Linked DNA regions of Mus musculus: regions 2, 3 and 4 are each reported to be linked to region 1. The links are microRNA targets in miRTarBase. Many come from high-throughput screens and were not tested one by one. Region 1 holds a microRNA gene; each other region holds the end of a gene's coding sequence.
The links. The annotated mature microRNA mmu-miR-495-3p reads AAACAAACAUGGUGCACUUCUU and lies in region 1 at 873-894, shown strand. An mRNA with a match to its seed (bases 2 to 7 or 8) in the 3' UTR can be bound and repressed. Matches are read on the target gene's strand: a 7mer-m8 pairs with bases 2 to 8, a 7mer-A1 pairs with bases 2 to 7 and ends in A, and an 8mer does both.

Region 2: the mRNA of Ubtd2 is a reported target of mmu-miR-495-3p. Seed matches in the 3' UTR shown: 7mer-m8 at 2,215-2,221, 7mer-m8 at 2,219-2,225, 7mer-m8 at 2,223-2,229 and 7mer-m8 at 2,227-2,233.
Region 3: miRTarBase lists Slc10a4 as a target of mmu-miR-495-3p. Seed matches in the 3' UTR shown: 7mer-m8 at 602-608, 7mer-m8 at 606-612, 7mer-m8 at 610-616 and 7mer-m8 at 646-652.
Region 4: miRTarBase lists Hykk as a target of mmu-miR-495-3p. Seed matches in the 3' UTR shown: 7mer-m8 at 1,621-1,627, 7mer-m8 at 1,617-1,623, 7mer-m8 at 1,613-1,619 and 7mer-m8 at 1,609-1,615.

Annotation. Positions count from the first base shown.
Region 1 is chr12:109,717,923-109,721,008 of GRCm38, forward strand. It overlaps Mir495 (microRNA 495), which reads left to right and starts at 832; the gene lies at 832-894. It overlaps Mir667 (microRNA 667), which reads left to right and starts at 2,084; the gene lies at 2,084-2,175.
Region 2 is chr11:32,516,255-32,519,340 of GRCm38, forward strand. Ubtd2 (ubiquitin domain containing 2) reads left to right here. Exons shown (of 3, transcript NM_173784.4): 3 at 1-2,455. The coding sequence ends at 233. Among named protein-coding and RNA genes, the nearest start is that of Efcab9, 9.8 kb to the right of the region's middle.
Region 3 is chr5:73,011,978-73,015,063 of GRCm38, forward strand. It overlaps Slc10a4 (solute carrier family 10 (sodium/bile acid cotransporter family), member 4), which reads left to right. Exons shown (of 3, transcript NM_173403.2): 3 at 1-978. The coding sequence ends at 370. It also overlaps the pseudogene Zar1-ps. Among named protein-coding and RNA genes, the nearest start is that of Slc10a4, 6.6 kb to the left of the region's middle.
Region 4 is chr9:54,946,212-54,949,297 of GRCm38, reverse strand. It overlaps Hykk (hydroxylysine kinase 1), which reads right to left. Exons shown (of 5, transcript NM_177351.4): 5 at 1-3,086. The coding sequence ends at 2,772. Among named protein-coding and RNA genes, the nearest start is that of Psma4, 3.1 kb to the left of the region's middle.

The DNA.
Region 1 (3,086 bases):
TTGAGTGGCCTGTCAATGAGTGTAACTGGCATTCTTTGGATGGTATGTTCTCTTGCTCATTATTCCCATTGTCCAGTCTAAGGTAGGTAGTTGGTACCAAGTCACTTTCCTTTGTGGTTCAGATATATTGCTGTAGTGTTGTAACCTTCCAGTAACGGTAACACACACTAATCAATGCGTTTTGTTTTCAGGGAAGGGTCGGTCATATGTCCCGTTCAGGACAGCCGCAAGATGATGAACGGACATTGCATCCCCAGACATCTCACACGCTCAGAATCCTGGAGCCTCCCATTTCAACCTGTTCTTCTGCTTCCCAGTACCCTGTGAGCTCTTTGTTGTATTTGTCTACATCGTAAGTCACTTCTGGGTGCGGGAGAGGGGGGACCTCAGAGGGCATCATCCAGGCACTCACACAGCTGGTTTAGGCTGCCCTGGATTTTGCCACCTAGTTCTTTGACTTTTTTTTTTTTTCTCAGCTTCAGAAGAGGATCCTGGAACTGAGAGAGGAGATTCTGTCTTGGAGTTTGGCACCATCCCATTTCCCCCGAGTGACACTTCAGAATGACTGGCAAGGATGGTAGGCAACATCTCAGAATCTTCAGTCTTCGTCCCAGGTCTTCCTGAGATCCTGAGGTAGAGGGGGTTTGGGCTGGATTGCTATGGCAGTGATGAGTACTGAGCCACTCCCCTTGCCTCAGGACCCCCATCCCTGTCCCCCTCCCGGCCAAGTATCTGCCTCACCCACCATCCCTTCCTTCCGCCTGTCCCTCAGCATCCCTTCACACTCAGGCACACTGCTGGAACAAGCAAGAGCTCAGCCGTGGTACCTGAAAAGAAGTTGCCCATGTTATTTTTCGCTTTTATTTGTGACGAAACAAACATGGTGCACTTCTTTTTCGATATCAAATCTCACCTTGGAGAGCTCCCCATGGACCAGAGGGAGGACGGGAGGCCAGGGGGTTTGGGTCACCATGTGCACAGGGGCATTTACCTCAAAGAAGCACAATTTCACCTGCCCCTCTTGGCTCTGTGCATTGTTAGGTCCAGAATGCCCACCTCCTGGGACAGGCACAGTCAGTAAGGGAAACCAGGAAGCGCACTTTTAGGCTCTGTTGTAGGATGGAGTTCAGATAAGAGAAGCCCAGAAAATTATAAAATCCAAACAATAGCAATTTAATCAAACAGCCAATACAAGCCAAACCACCAATTCCTTCTGGAGACATGTGTCTAGATGTCAGCTGCAGGTGTCTTTACCAAGATATGTCAGTTGGTGAGTGTCACATAACACTATGACTCTAGAAAAGCCTGGGCCCCAGATCAGCTCTTTACCAGCATCCTGCCATGTCTACGGGCTGTGCTCTTTGATGCCATTAGCAAGGCCTTGAGGACTGGTGGGTGCTGGCTACGATTGGGACCAGGGAACAGCAAGCTGTCATCAGCCACTGCTGCCTGTCTCTTATCTCTGATACTGGTACCCCTGCCCTCTGGAGTGGTAGATGTAAGGCGGCACTTCAGACCCCTTTTCCCTAGTGAACTTCTCTTTATGGCTAACATTCTCTGGTAGCCTCCTCATGGCATCAAAATTGCCTTTGAGTGTGGTTGTTTGAGCAGGGCCCTTTGGTGGCTCTCTTGTGAGAGTGGGAGGGAGGATACAATCCAGAGAGTATGAGAACACCTCATCCATCCATCTCCCCTGGAGGGTTTCCGAAGCTGAGCCAGTACAAGATATGGGATCACTCTTAGGCAACCCTTTGCTAGGATACTAGCTATTTCTTTCTTTGCTCAAGTTGGAATAAAAGCTTTGTTTATACTTACGTGGCTCAACAACCATAGCGCATCAAAACCCAGTGCAAACTCCATCTAAGAGGTACCAGGATTAGCCACACACTTAGCTCTTAGTTTCTACTGGCTCAGTGATGCCCTTGGGCTGTGGCTGTACCTGTGTTTTGGCTTCTGCCTATAAAAGATGGAAACACCTTTGGAAAAGCAGCAACTCTCCCTTTATACCCATGGAGAAAGGCTAAGGGGCATGGAACAAGCATGGTCAACCCATTTTCTTAGGTTGAAAATCCCTTTCCATCTAGTGGGTACTGGCCTCGGTGCTGGTGGAGCAGTGAGCACGCCATACATTATATCTGTGACACCTGCCACCCAGCCCAAGGCCCCTAGGCCCACAAACTTCTGGAGGGGAGTTTGTCTTGGATTCATCCAAGGAATGCAAAGGACACCTGGACAGAAATGCCTCTGGTGGTCATCCCAAGGTAACCGGACTTGTTCAGTTCCATTTCACATTTAGCTTTGTGCTTTATTGGCAGGCTTCTAAGGGCTGCTATTCACCCCTACATCCCAGGTACGTATAGGCCCAGAGGGAGCCTTCCATCTTTGAGGGTAGAATATTCTCTGGGCACAATACCTCACCAGCTGTCTTTTTCACAGGAGAAGCCTGGGCAGGATTGCCGCAGCTGTTCCAAGAGGCCCCAAGGGACAGTGTCCACATCATGGTGTTTGTTCGTGGAAGATATTAAACGCTGACCTCTTTTTGAGCACAAAATCCCTCCTTGAAGGGCTCTCTGTACCCGGTGTCAGGTTCAGGAACACGATGTGGGCATCAGCCCCTTGCTGATGGTATGTGAGCAGATGTCTGGCCAGATGGCAAGTGCTTTTGTTTATTTATTTTCTTATTTTGAGACTTGAGAGTTTATTGAATGAATCATCCTATAATCCAATTTCCCAAGGCAAATCTGTACATAAAAATCTAGTTTCTATCACATCGCTTCCTTCTTAATTGATTGACAGATTTGAGCAAAAACATGTCTAGCCTGCATTTCAGATTTTGAGAATTTTAAAGAATATACTCTGCCCTTCCCAGGTTCGCCTGGATCTAACCAAACGGACAAGCTCAAATATCAAATGAAAAATGATGAGAGCAAGATGAAGGTGGGAATCTCTATGAATATGTGGCACCCATATTGATTTTTTTGTATAACTCATTTAATATAACAATTTTCGATAACATTTTTTTTGTAGCAAGTTTTCATTGTAACCCAGGATACCTTTGAATTTCTTAGGTAGCTGAGGCTGACTTT
Region 2 (3,086 bases), not on the chromosome of region 1:
TCTCCACAGGCAAAGACCTCAGGCTCGTGGTCCGCAGCACAGACACAGTGTTTCACATGAAGAGGCGCTTACACGCCACAGAGGGCGTGGAGCCAGGCAGCCAGCGCTGGTTCTTCTCTGGCAGGCCTCTCACGGATAAGATGAAGCTGGAGGAGCTGAAGATCCCCAAGGACTATGTGGTGCAGGTTATAGTGAGCCAGCCTGTGCAAACCCCAACACCAGTGGAGAACTGAGCTGGACTTGCCTTCTTCCAAGATCCCGTGGCTCCTTTTTATTGTTACCATTTCTTACTCTTAAGGCGTGAAATTTATTTTCACTGCTCTGAATTCCCTATGAATGGATTTAGTTCTGAGGAATTACCAGTGAAAAATTCCATCTGTGATGGAGACCAACAAAAATAATAAAACACACAGAGCCAGCCTCTGATACTCTTATAATTACAATTTCTAATTTGAAAGACAGTTAAGAAATAGATAACCATTTATTTTAAAACATTTATCAACTGTGTAATGGCTGTATTTAAATGATCTCGAATGTAAACAGACACCAGACCCATCAAAAACAGCACCAAGCACCTTTTGGACACAGAATTTTTATGACATACATGTCAAATTTTTTTTTTTCCAGAACCATCAATAACAGTTACAAAACCTAATCTTTTTTTTCTTTTAAAGTGGAACCTAAAAGAGCATAGAGTTTTGCTTCTCTTCTGGGTTTGTAGTCCTACCCACCAGGAGGCAGTGAGACTGGGAGTTGTCAGTGTTCCTTCCCCTCCCACCAAGTTCTGCTCCCTGTTGACATGCACTCAGTCCTGTGGCCGTCATGCTGGCAGCGGGCACCCTCTGGCGCCCTGAGCAGCACGTTAGTAAGTAGTTAGAGCTTGTATTCTCAGTTGAGAAGTTTCTAGTCTTGCTTCATAGTAATCTTAACATATCTGTGGACCCAGGCTTGACAGCTAGCTACTATGTGATGTCTTTGCTGACCCTGATGCTCTGCGTGACCATTTCTGTAGCTTCCTGGCCCCGCCTATATATTCCTGGGCCAGGCAAGACAGAAATGGAGTATAGCTGCTTCCAGTCCAGAATGAAAAGCAATCTTCTCCTTCCTGCCTGCAGGGAATGTGAGTAAAACCCTCTCTGCCTGTTCCTGGGAAAACTGTGCCTATTCTAAGCCTTGGAGAAAATTCCAATTCAAAATGTTCGTGTGTGATAGCTAACTAGTGTCATTTAAACTGCATTGGTGGGAACAGATGGTAGCGCCTGGCTCAGACTGGAGTGCTTTCACTTAACTCTGACTCCAGTCACTGTGGTGGCAGGGTTCCTCCCACACCTTCCCAACAAAGGTGAATTAACCTCCATCTGCACACTGGGCTAAGGGACTGAACATAGTAAATCAGGCTCACCTTCTCTGGAGAAAGCTGCCAAGGGTTATATTTAATCTGGAGCCTTTTAAAAGCTGTTTTTGCCAGGCATGTTGTACCTGCCTTTAATCCTGGGCCTTGAGAGGTAGAAAGAGGCAGATCTCAGAATTTGAGACCAGCCTGGAATACACAGCTAGTTCTAGGCCAGCCAGAGCTACTTAGTGAGACTGTGTCTTAAAAAAAAAAGTTGGTTCCCTGAGAAGGGGACTATCATGTGACCACACTGTCTCTGAAAGTTTGTGAGATGTGAACAGTAGATGAAAGAAGGGTCTGTGCTTTTCTCAGTCAGGAAATACCAAACCTCCTATTCGGATATAAAATGCCATTCATAATTTTAGTGGCAGAATGAAACCTCTAAGCAGTTTAAAATGTAATTTTTAAGTATTAAATTTCTTATAGCCTGTTTAAATATATCTATAATTATAACTTACATTTCTGAGAACTTTAACCATTTCCCTAATTCTGTTCATCATTTAGTTTGTGATTGTATCTAATTTAGATTTGGTGGTGACTGATCTAAATTCAGAAGTGCACACACAGCTTTAGCAACCAAGGATGCCCACATTTCCATGTGGAGGCTCTAGGGTATTCCAGTGCATCTCCCTCCCACCATCAAGAAGGTTGGTTCATTTGTCATATTGAATAACAGTATCTCAAAGTCCGTCAGTTGGAAAAGTGGTTAAACCTATTATTTTTCTAAAGGAAATTTGATGGTGTCATGAATAACCTGATTGTTAAAAGGTCTTGTTTCTTGAGGGTTTGTCCTAAGAGATTTGTGGGGTCTTTTGGTTTTTGTTTGTTTGTTTGTTTGTTTAAATTTTAAAGGAACATATACTTTGAATAACAATCCTCCAGGCATGGTGAGAAAAAAACCTAGGTGCTGGAAATTGTCAATAGGTTAATAACCTAGGTGAGAAAAAAACATGGTGCTGGTAATTGTCAATAGGTCGATGTAAGATTGGATCAATACTTGATGTGTATCATTTTAGTATGTAGGGGTTTTGTGCTTTTTTTAAAAAAAAAAATTCAACTTTTCTCTTTGTCTTTGCCATTATTTCTCTATACAGCGACAGTTTCCTGCATCCTATAGGAAAGTGTGAAGTGTTCTCTCTAAAACCGGTAGTGACCACCAAACCTAAGCTCTGCTCCACCACATACTGCAGGTCACTTAGAGGTGTGCCTCACCAGCACTGCTGCCTTGGTCTAAAATAGGTTCACCATGGCTCAGTCGCTACTACTTGCTGTGCTGCCAAGGCAACACTGGATTCCAACACTCAGCCAGTTGGGCCAAACTGGGGAGCTCCAGTTTCAGTGAGCGACCCGCCTTGAGAGGAATGACACCCAGTGTCATCTCTGGCCTCTGCATTCACATACTCAAACAATGGTGTATATATCTTACTTTGTGTGTATTGTGCTAATTTTTCAAGTTTTTCATAGTCAAACCTTTTAAGTCTCATCAGGTGTGGTTGTGCTCATCTCTAATCCTAGCACTTGGTGGGTAGAGGCAATCTGAATTGGAGGGCAGCCTGCTCTGCCTGTGGCGTTCCCAGCCAGCCAGGGCCTAAGAAGGGAGTTCCTCTCTTTAACAACACATCATCTGTTGGACTTTTTATGGCCTCTGGGTTTCTTAAAGGGCCTTCCCTATTCCAAAGGATACTAGCCTCTC
Region 3 (3,086 bases), not on the chromosome of region 1:
TTATGGCTTAGCTACCCTCTTCCACCTCCCGCCCAACTGCAAGCGGACTGTGTGTCTGGAAACAGGAAGTCAGAACGTGCAGCTCTGCACTGCGATTCTCAAACTGGCCTTCCCGCCTCGCTTTATAGGTAGCATGTACATGTTCCCTCTGCTCTACGCCCTCTTCCAGTCTGCCGAGGCAGGGGTCTTCGTGTTGATCTACAAAATGTACGGAAGTGAGATACTGCACAAGCGAGAGGCCCTAGACGAAGACGAAGACACCGATATTTCTTATAAGAAACTGAAAGAAGAGGAAATGGCAGACACCTCCTATGGCACCGTGGGGACGGATGACTTAGTGATGATGGAGACCACCCAGACCGCCCTCTGACCGAGGAGATACACGGGAGCTGAAACATCACTTCCTATTTGTGACCATTGGTAGCGAGTATGGTTCGCATCCGGGATAAAGATGGGTTGACATTTCCTGTAACAGATTTGCTCTTCCCACTGTAATGTTGTATCTCAGTATTACCCATGTGTTTTTCTAACTCAACAGAGTCCCAGTATTGCTTACACCTGGATCAGCTAAAGTGCCGGTCCTCTGCTTAAGTAGTGTGCTGTTTGTTTGTTTGTTTTTTGTTTTGTTTTGTTTTCCCGGTTTTTGTTTGTTTTGCCATTTCCACCAGCATCGCTACAGATAGGAAATGGGGTTGGAAATGTTTGTAAATGTTTGTAAAACAGAACCATGGGTTTGCTCAACTTACAAACAACCGATTCTGTTCAGGGCGAGCCTGTATTGAGAAAAGTCCAAAACGGGTCAGTGAAACGACAGGATAGCATTGCATCGTCAAACCACTCTCAAGCCAGAGAAAATCATATTAATGTGTGTGACTACTTGATCTAGTATCTATTGTTAATGGCCATCAACATTGTCCAGGGGTGAAAGGCATTTTCCCCATATGTTTCCTGTATTTGTATAAACGCATCTCAGCTCCATTTATCGTCTGAAGGAATGATTTACTTAGGAAAATGCGTAGACCTCACCTCAGGGAGAGAAAATGGGCCCCTTTGTTCATCCGTGGGAAAGGGCTGTGGCTACAGGCTTTCCTTCCGGAAAGGCCTGTGGCTGGACACTGTCCCACTGCTCTGGTAGACTGGAGCTGTGATCTGAGACAAGCTAAGAGGTTCAGAGCAGTCTCCTAACATTTGTTATTTTGCTCCCTAATCAGACACACTGGCCTCCCTTGCCTTCTTCATGACAGACATCTGGAGCTACAGACATGGGGGCCCACCTGGCTCGGCTAATCTCGGTGATGATTCTGGGGTTGAATTCTCATCTCATCTAGTTCCCCTACAAATTGTTACTGTGGCTAGCAAGGAAAGCTCTTTTTCTGCATCCACGAGGAGGGTCGCCTCTTAACCAGTGTGGGGAAGGGTTCGCTCAGTATGGCAACAGCAGGTGGTAGGGCTTTTTCTACCAGTGCGCGGTCGCCTATTTAACGCAGTGTGGAGGGCAGCTGGGCTGCGCTGATGGCTGCCTGGGCGGGCGAGGCGCGGAACGCACCCATGTTCCCGGCGAGCACGTTCCACCCCTGCCCGCATCCTTATCCGCAGGCCACCAAAGCCGGGGATGGCTGGAGGTTCGGAGCCAGGGGCTGCCGACCCGCGCCCCCCTCCTTCCTCCCCGGCTACAGACAGCTCATGGCCGCGGAGTACGTCGACCGCCACCAGCGGGCACAGCTCATGGCCCTGCTGTCGCGGATGGGTCCCCGGTCGGTCAGCAGCCGTGACGCTGCGGTGCAGGTGAACCCGCGCCGCGACGCCTCGGTGCAGTGTTCACTCGGGCGCCGCACGCTGCAGCCTGCAGGGTGCCGAGCCAGCCCCGACGCCCGGTCGGGTTCCTGTCAACCCCGTGGCCACGCCGGCGCCGGGAGATCCCCGCGATCCTGGCAGACCGTCGCCCCGTTCTCGTCCGTGACTTCTGTGGCCTCTCCTCGCTGGAGGTTGCGGGGGCAGGCAGACACCCAGGAAGGGAGAGGGGAGCCCGGCATCCTCGGAGACCCGGGAACCGGAGCCGAGAGAGGTGGCCGTGAGGAAAGCGGTCCCCCAGCCGCGAAGCGAGGAGGGCGACGTCCAGGCTGAAGGGCAGGCCGGGTGGGAGCAGCAGCCACCACCGGAGGACCGGAACAGTGTGGTGGTGATGCAGTCTGAGCCTGGGAGTGAGGAGCTGTGTCCTGCTGCAGAGATGGCTCAGGACCCCGGTGACTCGGATGCCCCTCCCCGCAAAGCACCAAGCAGGACAAGGAGCTCCTGCGTTTCCAGGTGAGGCCAGCCTGGCGGCCTGGACGCCTCCAGAATTGTAGGGCTCCTTCAGGGCTAAGCTGGTGGCTCTGGGTGATGCAGAACATAGAATTCTTCCATGCCATCAGTCTGTTTTTTGTTTGTTTGTTTTTAACATGTTTGGTGTTTTGATTGCATGTTGTATCTGTACACTTCGTTGTAGTGGAGAGATGGGAGCAGAAGAGGGCGTCGGATCCCCTGGGACTGGTGTTTTACAGATGGTTGTAAGTCACCATGTGAGTTTTAGGATCGGAATTACTGTCCTCTAGAAGAACAGGGTGTTGTTTCACAGCTGAGCCATCTCTCCAGCTCTTTGGCATATAGGATTTTGCAGCCGCTGCCTGTTAATACAATGGGAGGCGTTTACACAATAAAAACCAACCCATATGTGTCCCGACCCACAGGCAGCCTCTGCTCCTGGGGAATGCCAGTTGTAATTATTTAATTCTGATCACATAAACGCTACACGTGAGGTCTCCGCGGTAAATGCACACAGTCTGGTTTGGACCAAACTTCAGACGGCTGAAGGAAGATAAGTGCACACATGGCAGGAACATAATCTTGTGAACTTCGTTGCGGGGAGAGTCGGTTTCCCAAGGCTCCTTTTCTTATTTCCCCTCTAGATGATCTGTCTTGGTTAACTTGCAGGCTTGTTCTATACCAGGCCCTTCCCTTCGTTTCTGAAGCTGTCAACTGAAGCTTCTCTCTCCCAAACTTGCCTGGCTTAAAACAGAAACAAAAACAAAAAACAAACCACTCTCCCC
Region 4 (3,086 bases), not on the chromosome of region 1:
TGGCTGACTGTGAGAAGGGCAAGCAGCGTGCCACACCAATATTTTGAGTGTGCGTAACCTGAAATATGATCCATTATTTAGTAACTATTTATTATGCCTCTACTATGTGCCAGAGTCTATGCTAAGAGGCTGCCATAGCCTCTTAAAAAACCCTCACAATTGACTCTCTAAGTACAAACATTATCTTGCTCTAAAAAAAGAAAAGAAAAGAAACGAGAAAGGAAAAGAAAAGGGAGACATGGAGAAGTTAAAAATAAATTGTATAAGTAAATTCAGAGAAATACCTAGTTTGGGAAGTTTAGACAGGTAGATAGGCAGGCAAACATCAGACAAGAGTTATAGTATCAAAGCCTACTCACATAGACGGATAACTACTAACAAGATGTTTAAATAAATGACTAGGGGTCTAGACCTGAGTCATCTTTAGAAAGCATGTGGTTAAACAAAAGAATGCAGTGAGTGGTCTATGCATGCCTACAGTCCCAGCTACTGGGTTGCATGGGCAGGATTATCATGTGAGTCCAGGATAACCATGCGACAGCTTGATTCCAGTATGGACAACACAGTGGAATCCAGTCTCAAAACAGAAAAGAAAAAAAAAAAAATCCCACCCTACAAGAATAAGTAAATAGCCACTTAGACTAGAGAGACATGAAAAGGAGCCAGTAAAGGAAATACTGAGATAAAACTTAAGCCAAGTATGCAATGCAATGATCTGCATTTTTACAGAATCTTATAAAAAGGCAATCATTAGTTATAGAGAACAAAGAACATGTGGGGCCAAACAGAATGGTGTATCACTATAGTCTCTGCATTGGGAGGCTGAACAGGAGGATCTTGGGAGCCACGATGTTTAAGACCAGCCTGAAGAGCATAGTAAGCCCTAACTGCTGAGGCGCCTTGCTGGTGTCCTGGATAATGGCCTTGCCTGGATGCCTACATGTGCTTCAATGCACTTGTGTCTGGAGTTCTGGTTGCAGCTACTCTCCCAAACAAGTTTTTCTCAGGACTCCCTCTTGTGTTTTCCCCGAGGGCTTCACCATATCTTTCTTCTTGCATGCATTCATTTTGTAAATGTGTCCAAAGACTTTTCTGTGGGGAAGGCACTATCAGAGGGACAAGAAGAGACACCCAGATGTAAGTTTTTCATGGCTGTGCCATGTCAATTTACAGGATAGATAACTGTACAACCATCAGCAGGTAAGAGTGAAATGCCACAAAAAAGATAGAATGCCTCACTTCTAGAGAGGTGAGATTAAGAGTCTACAGAATTTGTGATGTGTAAGCTATGTATTTAAGTTTCTCATGGTCTGTGTCATGGTAACTTACAAGATAGATGACTGTACAACAATATGCAGGTAATAGTAAAATGCCAAAAAAAAAAAAGACAGAAAGACCTCACTACCTCACTTCTTGACAGGTGAGATTAAGGAAGAATTCATAGAGTTAGCGATGTATAGGTTAGGTATTTAAAATATGTGGATTATTCAAAATATGTGAATATGTGTGCGGTGGTAGATGCCTTTAATTCCAGCATTTGAGAGGCAGAGGCAATTGGATCTCTATGAATTTGAGAGTTCCAGGGCAGCCAAGAAACCCTGCCTCAAAAACAAACAAACAAACAAACAAAATTAATATAGCTGTACATATGCATTCTTTTCAAAGTTTAAAAATCATTGATCTAAGGACGAGAATCGATCTTCGGAGACTGAAGACAAGTCATGTATCATCATGTGTGTTTCTTGTAAAAGGCAAGCATGACCTGCACAGAGACATGCTTACTTGGGTGGTACTTGTGTGGATTTCCTTGTTTCTGTAGTGCTGAGGTTGAACCCGGGCTTTGCATACTAGGCAAGGGTTCATCATGTAGACTTTCTTAAGAGTAAAAGATGGTCCAAAGATCGCTGTAAAAATTAGATCTTCCTTCACCAATTCCTATTTAGAATGGCTCTGTTTTGTTTTTTTGTTTTGTTTTTCGAGACACGGTTTCTTTGTATAGCCCTGGCTGTCCTGGAACTCACTCTGTAGACCAGGCTGGCCTCGAACTCAGAAATCCGCCTGCCTCTGCCTCTCAAGCGCTGGGATTAAAGGCGTGCGCCACCACTGCCCTGTGAGAATGGATCTGTTTTACCATTTCAGTTTTAACTCTGCACAAAAATCCTTCATAAATTTGTTCTAGGCCAACTGGGTTTTAATTAACACAAGCTTTTCTAAGGTCACTTGTAACGGCTTGTGTTCTCATGCTAATTATGTTACCAAAAATACCTGTTTGCAGTGTCCCACATTTAGGACTAAAGGAAGCCTGTCCCCAGTTAGTTTTTGACTTGTCAATAAAATTACCAGCGGCCAATGACTGGGCAGAGACAGAGGTGGGACTTTTAGGATTCCTGGGAAGAGACAGAGAGAGTAGGAAGAGAAGATTTTGCCACAAGAGGGGCATAGGACCACGCCAGAAAGATACAGAAGGGAAAGACCGCCGACATGTAGGTGCAGGGGGAAAGCTGCCCAGGAGGGCTGCCCAGCCAGGTCCAGGGCACAAAGATAATATATAGATTTTAGTAAGTAATAACTCAGGAATATTGAAGTGGAGTGTGCGTTAACCAAGTGGAGTTAGGGAGTGGCCCGGCAATTGACCTGCTTAGGGCATATTAAAAATAAGGTTGTGCGTGTGTGTCTTTCACTCGGGAATCCAGAACATTGTGGGTGCATAGCGCCGAGCGCATGTGCACCACCGGGGAGTTTTGAGCGATTTAATTTTTTTACCGCGGCAGTCACATGGATATCTCAGATTCATAGGACTTGGCAGTTTCAAACCAGATTTCTTCAACGGCTTTCTGGCCCATGTCGAACAGCTGCTGTAAATGCTTCCATCCGGTTTTGGCTGTAATCATGAGGTACTCTTTGTTCTCTGGGTACAGCTGGCAGGAGTATGCAGCCATGACGAGAGACTGGCTAAAACGACTGCATACAAGTAAAAACAAAGCCTGCCTCTCTACAGCCGTCAGGGGGATCACACTTTCAAACCCTGCGAGGATGTGACCTCCTACTTGTATAGGGTTTGTGCTTTCAATCATCATGTACATGAT